2 linked regions of the Caenorhabditis elegans genome follow. The protein of the gene in region 2 purifies or fractionates together with the protein of the main gene of each other region. This does not show direct contact. Each region holds a gene or a part of one and is shown on either strand. Other genes may lie near its edges.

Region 1 (4,736 bases), 6.0 Mb from region 2:
GTACATTTGACTGACACTAGTGCTCCGTTGACAACCTGTGACTGAGGATTACCTTATTTCACAAAAAGAACACACAAAAACCCAGTGAGAAATGATCGTCTCAGTTCATTGTTCTGACACCTTTCCGTGCGCGAAATTGGTTGGATTAACGTCCAGTGAGGAACGTATTGAAGATGAAACGAACGTGCTAATTAAATGAACGATGAGGATGATGATGGGTGCCGTTTGCCATCTATTAGGCATGGATTACCTGGCTTAACGTTCTCGAATTGCTTGAATCGACAGCCACTGTGCAAAGGGTAATTGTATACACTTCTAACACGGGAACACCGGAGACAAAACGTACTGCTAAAACTGAGACTAACACGCCTATTGTTCTGGTTTCGTACTTCGACTGCTAGTAGTCAGCGCGTTCGTCTCATTCTCATTGTCCGGATCCCCATGTTGACAGGAACCAAAAGTATTAGACTTTTGTTTTTTAATAAAAAAATGAAACGGTAAATCATGAATCATTCCTCAAATATTTTTCAGCCACCAGCTTCCATTAAGTCAATTTTGACAATTTTTCCAAAAAAATATTTGGTGTAAGAGCAAAAAAAAAGAAAGTGATATCACAAGAGATTAATTGAAAAATTCCTGAAGCACACTCCTGTGAACAAGCTAAAGTTTTTTGGTCGCTCACAATGAAGCGGACATAAATCATTATCAGACTAGAGGATTAAAAGTTTGTAATGTTGCGGTAAAATCTTTAAACTATATAAGCATAATCAGAGAAGTGCAAATTTAGTTAATTCAAAATGTTAGATCATAAATTCAGTTATTCAATGTGACCGTATTCATATTAATTTGGAGCCGATTTTCTCATAAGCTGTTGAAAATATCTATTCACCACCGGGCAGATCGTAAACCATCTGATTGAATACAGATTTCCTTATGTAATCTATCCGTATTGTGCAATACTTTTGACGCGACAACGAGGGCAAGAAATGGCACTGTGTGCAGCTGCGCGCGTTGAAGCAGATGCTTGTAACGACATAAAAGAGCTCCTGCGTTGAAGAGATGGCACACAAATGGGGGCACGATTCCATCACATATCATCAAATTGAGAAGAGTCAAGGAATGGACAAGGACGTTTGGACAGAAATCAGATTTGGATAGCGTAGATTTCGAGTAAAAAACCCCGCGTCAAAAAAGTTTCCTCAGCAAAAAAGAGAAAGTTGTGCGTATGGGTAGGGTCAAGCACGAGGCAAGCCCTGTTGACCAAACATATAAAGTGAGAGGCGAAAAATGTGGGGAAGGACGGAGATGGTCCTATTTGGTCGGCTCAACCTCATAAAGTTGCGTCACCGTACCTGTGGCCAGGTGTGTGCAGGATGGAGCAAACGAGGAGGCAACGATTGGAAGATAAGCCTAATGACTGGGTGTTCAGACGTACAATGCGGGTCCGTTTGGAACAATTACAATTTTTCTTGGTCAATTCAAGACGGATGGTGATATTTATAAGGATGAAAGAAGAACGGATGACGAGAGCTAATCAGAAATGGACATGCGATACGTTACGGCTACGAAGAGAGAGGAGGAGGAAAATGGCATGCAACATTTGAGCAGTCTAATAAAGCCGAACACAGATGAAGAACGAAGCGGTGGCCAATATTCAATCTGCATAATAAATAAGCGATCCGTACAAACAAAGACGTTTCCTTCGTGGTCTTCCGTCCTTCCGACACTCCCTACGGACCATGAACCGACCGACATAAGAAGGCCAGCTCCCACGGGAGCTTTTGGTATGGTGTCTCGAATGAATTTTGCATATAAATAGAAGAAACCGACCGAAACATATTGAAAACGGAGATTCGATTTATTTTCCATCTTATCTTTTATTGAGTCAGTTCAGAGGGGTTTCAATTGTCACTTTGACACCTTATTAGCAACCGAACAAAGAGTGCCGGATTTGCTAAGTGAGTGTAAAAACAAGATTATAAAAACAGTGGGCCTTCTTATTCTAGTCTTTTGAATGTTTTGATTGACGTAAGATCTTGGGCCACTTTGTTTCTTTTGAGAATTGCGAAGACGAACATTGTTGAGTAAAATTTAGTAGGGACGAAATTTTTTGAGAATAACAAAACATTTTATGTGCGCCAAAACTTTTTTCGATTTTTTGGTTCTTCAAAAAACTGAAAAACGGAAATTTTCGCTTTTGAGAAAACTGCAAAAACAAATTCTGAAAACACTCCAAAATCGGTATTTTTATACAGAATGCAATATTTTTATTACTGATGACGCCCTATTTCATACAAACAACATACATAAATTGCACTTTTTCAAACTGGACCCTAATTTTTTTTCGATTTTTTGGGTTTTTCGGCTTTTTGACCCACACCGCAAAATTGAAAAACCGAAAAACGTGAAGAACGGAAAACAACATTTTTTGTTAAGATTTAGGTTATTTAGAGAAAAAACTCGGTTTTTCGAAAAAAAAAAACTAGCAGACAATTCATATAATACCTAAAAACCAGGATGTTTTCGAGTTAAGTGAATGTTTCAAAATAAGGACGTCACTCTGAAGTCGTACGAAAATTTTTTTTGAAACACCTATCTCTGTACACATATGAGTAGTCACAACATTTGTGGCTTCGTACACCTTTGAAGTGTTTTTGAATGCACAAACATGACGCCGCTTTTTTTGGATTTGTGCCAAGAAGCAGAATAAGTTTTTCAGGCAAATACAAAAGAAAACATCTCGTTTTCTGTGTACAAAACTACATATATCAGGAAACGAGATTTAGTAAAACATTTTATAAGACTAAAAGAATTGTTTAGTTACATAGGAAAATTTTTTTAATGCCTCGAAAAACTTCCGGGCACGCGTTCGAAACTGGCATTAAAAAAAGTCTCACCTCTATGTGTTTATCAATAAGCCGGGACTAAAAAATGGGTGCGCCAAATTGAAATTTCGTTTTCGATTCTAATCACAAGTTCGGTTCAATACACGTTGTCGTTCTGAAAATCGAAAGTAACTTTTGCAACATATACGTTCAAGACATGAAATGGAGCGGAAAACTTCAAAAAGGGGTGTCCTTTTGAAACTTGGCAAAAAGCGATTTGTATCAGTTGACAGACTAATTTACGATAATGTACATATTGAAGAAACTTTCAAATTGGAACTTCTGAGATCTGATGAATATAGGTTTTTCAAAAAAGAATAAAAAAGCTAGCAATGTGTATAGTTTTGATGTGAAAATAAATATCGTAAGAGAAAAAGAAACACTGTCAGTTGCATACCTCATAAATATAATCAAGGAGGTATTGAAATTGCCGAAAAAACGGTTATCAGAGGAAAGAGATAGCAAGTACGAAATGAAGAATGCAACCTGGAAAATTCGCTTTCTCTTTTGTTGCATCCCTCCTTGTTGATAACACACTATGAATGTGGTTTTGACAAGAAAAACATACGCACACAGTTTGAAGCATTTTTTTTTCTTGTCACCAACCATTCGGATGAATTATACCCGAAAATGTGTGTACACTCGTTGGAGGATAGGGGAAAAAGAGAAAATGGTCAAGGTAGGTAAACAGAAAGCTTTCATAAACGTTTTTCTTACCATTTTTTTGCCTTTTCTTGGGCATAAAAGTTAGAGTTACTACAATGAATGTCAGTGTGGTTTGTACTATTTTCTGCATACGCAGAGGGAAATCAAAAATATCAATAGAGCGAAGAAAAGCGGTGAGTTTCAAAAAGGCTCTTCCCATGAAATATAACCCCCATTGTAATTAAAATTCTGAAAAAAAAACCAGAGTGCAATGAGTTTTTGAATGCGCCGTCTATATGCGTGGCAAGGGAATACAGCTATTTTCATTTTATCATATGTATATTTTCATATCTATATGAAGTTTGCAAATATATAAAACAAATTTTTTACTAATTTCGAAGAGCACATTTAAAAAAGTTGAAATTTAAACGAAGATATTAGATTGCAAATATCAATCTGTAGTTTTGTTTGATTTTGAAGTTATTCAAAACATAAAACGGTAATGGATTTTCAAAAGAAATAAAATAGAGTCTAACAAAACAGAAAATTAGGATTTCCAACAATTTTTGCTTTTGATAAGACACGCTAGATGTTGTTGATCATAAAGCCACGGTAATCATTGTCCTGGCCAAATGTAGAACTAATTAAATTTTGCGACAAAGTCCCTGTTGTCATAAAAATGTGATTTTTCCAGTCCTACGTTATTTAGAATTTAACACGATCCGTCCTGCTATTCAAGGAAAAATAAAATCAGGGCGTTTCTTGTTAGTGGTTTCTCGGTATGTGTGTCCAATACACTAATTACTCGATGGTGATTGAAATCAAATATCAAGACAGGAAAGAGGACACGAGTAACTGATAAAGGTCAAATGCACATTAAACTTAACGCACAAAAAGTTAGGCAATGTCGTAGAAAGTGGTGTGTGAGGAGATAGAATGGTGAGTCAGGAACGGTAGAGGGTTTTCTATTCGAAAGAATAAAAATCTGTTTTCTAGTAAAATTGAAAAGAGTGAGAGATTGAGAGAAAAATAATGGAATAAAATCGGAATGGTGTTTACATCATTTCCATATTAAAATTTTGAATTGGAAATTTAAAATACAAACTACTGGTACATATAGGAATATGAGATACTTTGAATTTTCAAATTTACAGTTTAGATATAACTGCATAATAATACCTTTTGAAAAAGATTCTTATACTTCTT
Region 2 (5,854 bases):
GCTACTTCCGTGACCACCTCGAAGAGGGAGGAACCATCAAGTTGGACATTCCAGTCGAGAGGAACTATGCACCATGGGTTCATCACCAGAAGAAGGCTCCATGGGAGATTTGGCCAGATGAGGACCATTACTTCTAAATGAATCCTCTCAAAGCTTTAATAGTGACAGTTCAATTATCATTTCGGTTCTTTCTAATTTTGTGTTGTGATTTCCGACGTTTTGCCTACGGTGTCCCCATTCTGTCTCAGCTTTCCTCATTTACATGTCATTTTTGCATATTCTTTTTTTTATTTTTTTTTCTTCACATCAAAAATCTGGTTGTAACCTAATATTAATATTTCGTTATTTCTCTTTCACATACTTATCCTCCCGAGACATTGGATTCCGTATCGCCCACGGGTTATTCCTCCCCATTGGTTTTTCCCATTCCCGTTGTCTATGACAAAGTTGCCATTACAATGAATTTTTCAATATGTATGTTTTGAAATGGTGTAGATATGAGAAAATGGAACACCAGTGTCCTATGCTCTTTTCACTTTTTGTCATTTGTCAAATGCGGTGTGGCTATGGAGCACCACAAGCACTAGAGAAAGTTTTTAATTCTTTAGGCAAATAAAACTCAGCAAGTCGACCGCTTTCATTGTCTTTTTCTTCCGTTTCCTCTCACTGCTTTATATATCCATCATCCATAGTTAGTGACATAGAAAACGGTTTTTGACAATGAGTCACCGAGATTTCAAATCGTATTTCTTTTAACAGTGCTGCATTGGGATTTTACTTTAGTTTTTTTTAGTTATGTTAGTTGTTTTCTGAGTTTTTTTTAATTTCTATGTGAAACGGGCTTTGCAAATTTTTCAGACGCTTTTCTGGAAAACCTGATTTTGCCCTAAAGCCCTAAAATTTGATTCTTTTTGCGTTTGTTGATAATATTTTTAACTGAACAAAAGTCGGAAAATTTCACAAATTTTGAATTAACGCACACAGTATTAAAAAAAAAATTACAAAGTTATTAGAGCTCAAAACGCTGAATTACCAAGACAGTGCGCTAATTATTACGAGAATTCATATATAAGGAAAAAATACGGAAATAAAAGTTAATTGTGTTCCCATCTGATAACTTTTACTTTTCTTGAATAGTTTACATTTTTAAAATAGTTATTTTCGACAGAGTAAAAATAATTTCCCACTTAAATATTTTTTTTCAAAGTTTGCCTTGCTCAGCATTCATAAATAGATAAAAATTGCGCAACTTTTTCGCAAACGAAATAGGTTGAAGATATTAGTTGCACCCTATATAATTTTTGTGAAAGAAAAGTTTCGTAAAACCTTATTTAATTAATTAATTTAAAAAACATTTCCAATCAAATAATAATTAAACTTGCCAAAAATATTCAGATTTTTCAAACTTGTCGTGAAAGTTTTGGTAAATTTGGCTTTTTAAAAAAATTTTTAGAATCCAAACTTTCTGAATGCAAATAAAACTTTGTCAAAAATATTTTGATAACTATTTGCTCATTTTAGTACTATAAAACGGTTTTCTTTGCGTTTAACATGTTGAAATTTTGTGATTTTGCGAAATAAACAACTCAAAAAATAATTTCTAAAAACTAGTCAATTCAAAATATTTCCCACATTGGCACTTCCATCAAAAAAATGTCTTTTGAATTTGACTCAATTATGTTGCGCTCGTTAGATTTCGGTTTCTGTTCAACACACACCATTTTTCCATTTTAGCGAGGTCAAACCAATTTTTCGTTTCAAAAATTTTGATGCTTTTACTTTTACTACTACGTTTTATTTTGTGACAGACAGTTGCAAAGTGGAAAAATATGTCTCTTATCACTCGTTTTTGATTGCGCTATTATATGTAGGTTTAAATTCTATTGTTCACAATTAGAGCGTGCGACGGATTTTTATTGATCGACCTTGAGGTTCTGTCAATTGTTTGAATTGTGTCTTATACTGGTTGTAGAATTTGCTTGTGAAAGTTATTGGCACGCATCCAAATTCAGGTTCGATTCCACTGTTTTCTCCGTCTTTCTTTCTCTACGTTTCTTCAGCAATCATCACTCTCTAGGCGCTTGCGCATCTCTATTTCTGTTGTTTCTCCTATCGTATTTCTCTTTTCAATTTCATTTCATTTCATTTTGCATATGAATAATATTATATAAATATACTTTTCCATTTCGTTTGTATTCCAGATAAATGCCCGAGCGGAGAGTGTTCATTATCCGTCATGGTGAAAGATGTGATTTTGCATTTGGCAAGTCAGGACTTTGGATCAATTCATTTGACAGCAGAGGAAGGTAAACGTTATTTTAAGCATTCTAGAACAAGTTTAAGTCTGTAGATATCGCCCGCTTGACATCAATCTTCCCCGAACTCTTCCAAAACGTGCCGATGGATGGCAAGGTTTTGCTGCCGACACCCCGTTGACTGAAATTGGTTATCTTCAATCAAAATTGACAGGTAAACTGAAAATTTGCAATTTATTTGCAAAAATAACAATTACAATTTTCAAGTTTATTTCAATAATTTAGATAGATTATTTTTTGAATTTCATAACAAATTAAGTTGTTTGAAATTAAACCAGTTGCCAGTTGGAAAATTGTTTAGAGCCATAGCAATTTGATTTAGGCTGTTTAAGAAATCTTTGAAATTTCCTGAAAAATCAAAAAAAAACCAGCAATTTCCAAAATGACCAATTTTTGAAAAACAATTACTGAAAGTATGCAATTTTTACATTTTTAGTTTTTATAAGATCTCGAAGAGTTTTCCGAAAAAAGTGATTAACAAATAACTACAATTGCGAATTATGCCAAATTCAATTTTTTAAGTTTCGAAAAATTTCGGCAATTTCGGCAGCTAAAATTTTTGACCGCGTACCTTTTGTTTCACAGTTATCATAGTTCTGAAATTCAACTTTAAAAACATGTTTCTGCAAATTTTATATTCCAATGCAGTTTCATTAAATGTGCATTTTTATTCGAACTTATACAAAACGTCATTTCATTTGAATTTTGGCTATTGTCTTGTACAGAAAAATGTTGAAAAATATGGAATTTGTTTAAGAGCTTTAGTTGGTTATATTGAATAATTATAAGAACTATTAAAAAACAAATCATTATTAAATGCTCAAAAACACAGTTAAAATTTGAAAAACTTGAATTTATTTTTACATATGTTATTCGAGAAAGTTTAGGTATTTTTTTGAAAATGTATTTCAATTCGCACAACGTTTAAATAAAAATAATTATAAAAACATTTAAAATTACAAATTTATGAAAGATTTTATAAATCGTAAAAACAAGAGCTTATACTGTTCTTTGGTTTCTTTTCCACATCATTTCTAATACTGTACTGTATTTTAAATAGTTTTTTTTTTCAAAAAATAACTTTATTTTCAGTCAGAATTTGTCTAAACTATTATCTATTATGTTCTTCATCAACAAGACCTATTAATTTTTCAGGACGAGCATTACGTGACAATGGAATCGAAATCAACCATGTTTTCTGTTCCCCGGCTTTGAGGTGCATCCAAACAACAGTTGGTCTATTGAAGGGAATGGGTACGTCATGTTTCGATGTTTCCCGCAAGACAACTGACATCACTTAAAATAAACATGTTCTAGGTCTTGACAAGCGAATTCAGTTTTCCGTTGAACCTGGGCTTTATGAGTGGATGGTATTTGCAAGGTACGCAAGACCATGCTGGATTCCGCCAAAAGATTTGAAAAAGCTTGGTACGTATGCTCGGCGTTTAATTCCAATACTAAAAATGTTCAGGCTACCCTGTACAAGAAAACTATGTACCATGTTGGACGGATAAGGAGCTTCGAATGAATGAAACCTTAGCAGATTTCTATCAAAGATCGTTTGGTTCTATAAACAAAATTTTGTCGGAATGCACAGAAGGTGATTTCTTTTCTCAACTTTTTGACACTAGTGATCAATGTGTATTTCTCGTGATTTTCCTGTCTATCACCCTATGAACTTTCTAGCTTCTACATCTCATAAAACGTCACGTTAAATGTATATTCCAGGAAACATTCTCATTGTGGCTCATGGTGCATCACTCGAAACATGCACTCGGCAGCTGGTCGGCGGTGATATCAGATCAACTGACGATTTCTACTACCTACTTCAAAACACACCATACTTGTCGTGTGTAGAAGTGAACTCTCGAGAAGGATTATGGAGACTAGTGGGCAGCCCGATTCCGTCGTTTTCACACACGTACAATCGCACTTTTGATCCATTGCAGCTCGTCACAAAAGATTTGGCCTCGCTGAAAAGAGAACGAGAGGGAAAAGACAATATGAGGACCACTCAATAATCTTTTTGATAATTTGTAAGCCGAATTAATTTTTCTACGGTTCTGAATGCTAACATTTTTGGCGGGAGTTCTTTATTCGAATTTATGTAAATTGAAAGTCTTTAACTTTGAGCCTAACTTTTTATTGCCAGTGGGAATATTTTTCAAGTTTGCTTTTATAATGCTAAAATCTTTTTTAAAAAATATTTGAAATGACTCGATGTGGAAAATTTGAAAATTTACCATAATTTTGTCTGAAAATTTTTTGAAGATGTGTTATAATATTTAGTCAGTTTGGTCTATGGTCTCAACTGACGGTTCTCCGGCCTTTGATTAGTTTGGTTTTTCTTCAGTTTATCACCGACGTTGTTCATGATCTCAACTTTCTCCTGTTTTTTTATTCGATTCATATTCAAATTGTTATACTTTCAACTAATAAATCATTTTATTCGACAATCAATTAACATTCTGTGAACTTCGAAACCCGAAATTTGTTTTCTCTTTTCAAATATATTTCAATGATAGATCTACTTGTAGAGATATGAGATAACTCTTTGTAATGGTTAAACATTTAAAAAAAAAGGATCGGCTAACATATTTGTTGACTCCAGTTGATTGCTTTGTCATAAAACTGAGTAGGTGTGCATCTTTGAGTGGTATCGAGCTGCAGCAGTGATTGAATAATCCCCGAAACCTCTTGACTCAGCTCGTCGGGCAGCTCAGGCGGGTCGTAGGCGTCGAAGTTAGCCCCTGCCACATACAGGAAGAGCTTACACAAACTGCACTCATCGAATGGGACCTGCAAAAGAAAAATTGTGAATATGAAGTTATCTACGTCATTCTTCCACTTCAACTGCGAAGCCCCTGGGGAGTTATTTGCGTTTTTGTTCTTGGAAAAACTTTAGGGTTCGGAAGGACTAACCTCTCCTGTAACGCATTGGTAGAGAAGGCATCCGATGCTCCACATATCAACTTTTGAGTCATACTGACAAGTTTTTAAAAGGTTCGCTCCAACTTCTGGAGCCATGTAATAAAATGTACCCGCAACGTTGCACAGCTCTTCTCCCTCGTTATCAAGGGTTCTCGAAATTCCTGAAACAAGAAATGAATTAAATTACGTAATGAGTTCCAAAACACACCAAAGTCTGTGATCCGAGCACAAGCAATTTGTTTCGATGCATCTGTATAAGTGATCAGTATGTTTTGGGGTTTAATGTCCCGATGTACAATTTTCAACTCATAAAGCGCTTTGTATCCTCGGGCAATGTTGTCAAGAAGAAGCCTGAAGTGATTTCTGTTTGAAAGTTGTAAAAAAGTTTTGAGGAAGACATGCTGAAACTTCCTTATCCTAGCCCTCTTCCCTAGTTCCTGTTCCGTATTCTCTACTATTTACTTGAATCAAAACATGTTTGTGTGTTCCCCCCCCCCCCCCCCCCGTTCCCCAATCTGTAATGCAAAGAAAAGAAATGCGAGAATTCCAAATTCCTTACCTGAAATTCGACGGATTCAATCTTCCTTTGACCGAAATATTGCGCATGT

What was found. The genes of interacting proteins can lie anywhere in the genome.
Region 1: the proteins of T07F12.1 (region 2) and dgn-1 fractionate together in Caenorhabditis elegans (co-fractionation; one large-scale study listed by BioGRID). This does not show direct contact.

What each region holds. Positions count from the first base shown.
Region 1 is NC_003284.9:10,925,999-10,930,734, forward strand, and holds the start of dgn-1 (Dystroglycan 1), read right to left. Parts: upstream 3,001-4,736; 5' UTR 2,898-3,000; intron 1,822-2,897; exon of another isoform or gene 1,617-1,821; intron 1-1,616.
Region 2 is NC_003284.9:4,891,856-4,897,709, forward strand, and holds T07F12.1 (Steroid-phosphate phosphatase), read left to right. Parts: upstream 1-2,199; 5' UTR 2,200-2,205; coding exon 2,206-2,306; intron 2,307-2,350; coding exon 2,351-2,469; intron 2,470-3,470; coding exon 3,471-3,569; intron 3,570-3,632; coding exon 3,633-3,743; intron 3,744-3,786; coding exon 3,787-3,915; intron 3,916-4,043; coding exon 4,044-4,336; 3' UTR 4,337-4,776; downstream 4,777-5,854. Other genes in the region: T07F12.2 (PA domain-containing protein), read left to right, coding at 1-137; T07F12.4 (Protein kinase domain-containing protein), read right to left, coding at 4,905-5,114, 5,238-5,407, 5,455-5,597, 5,806-5,854.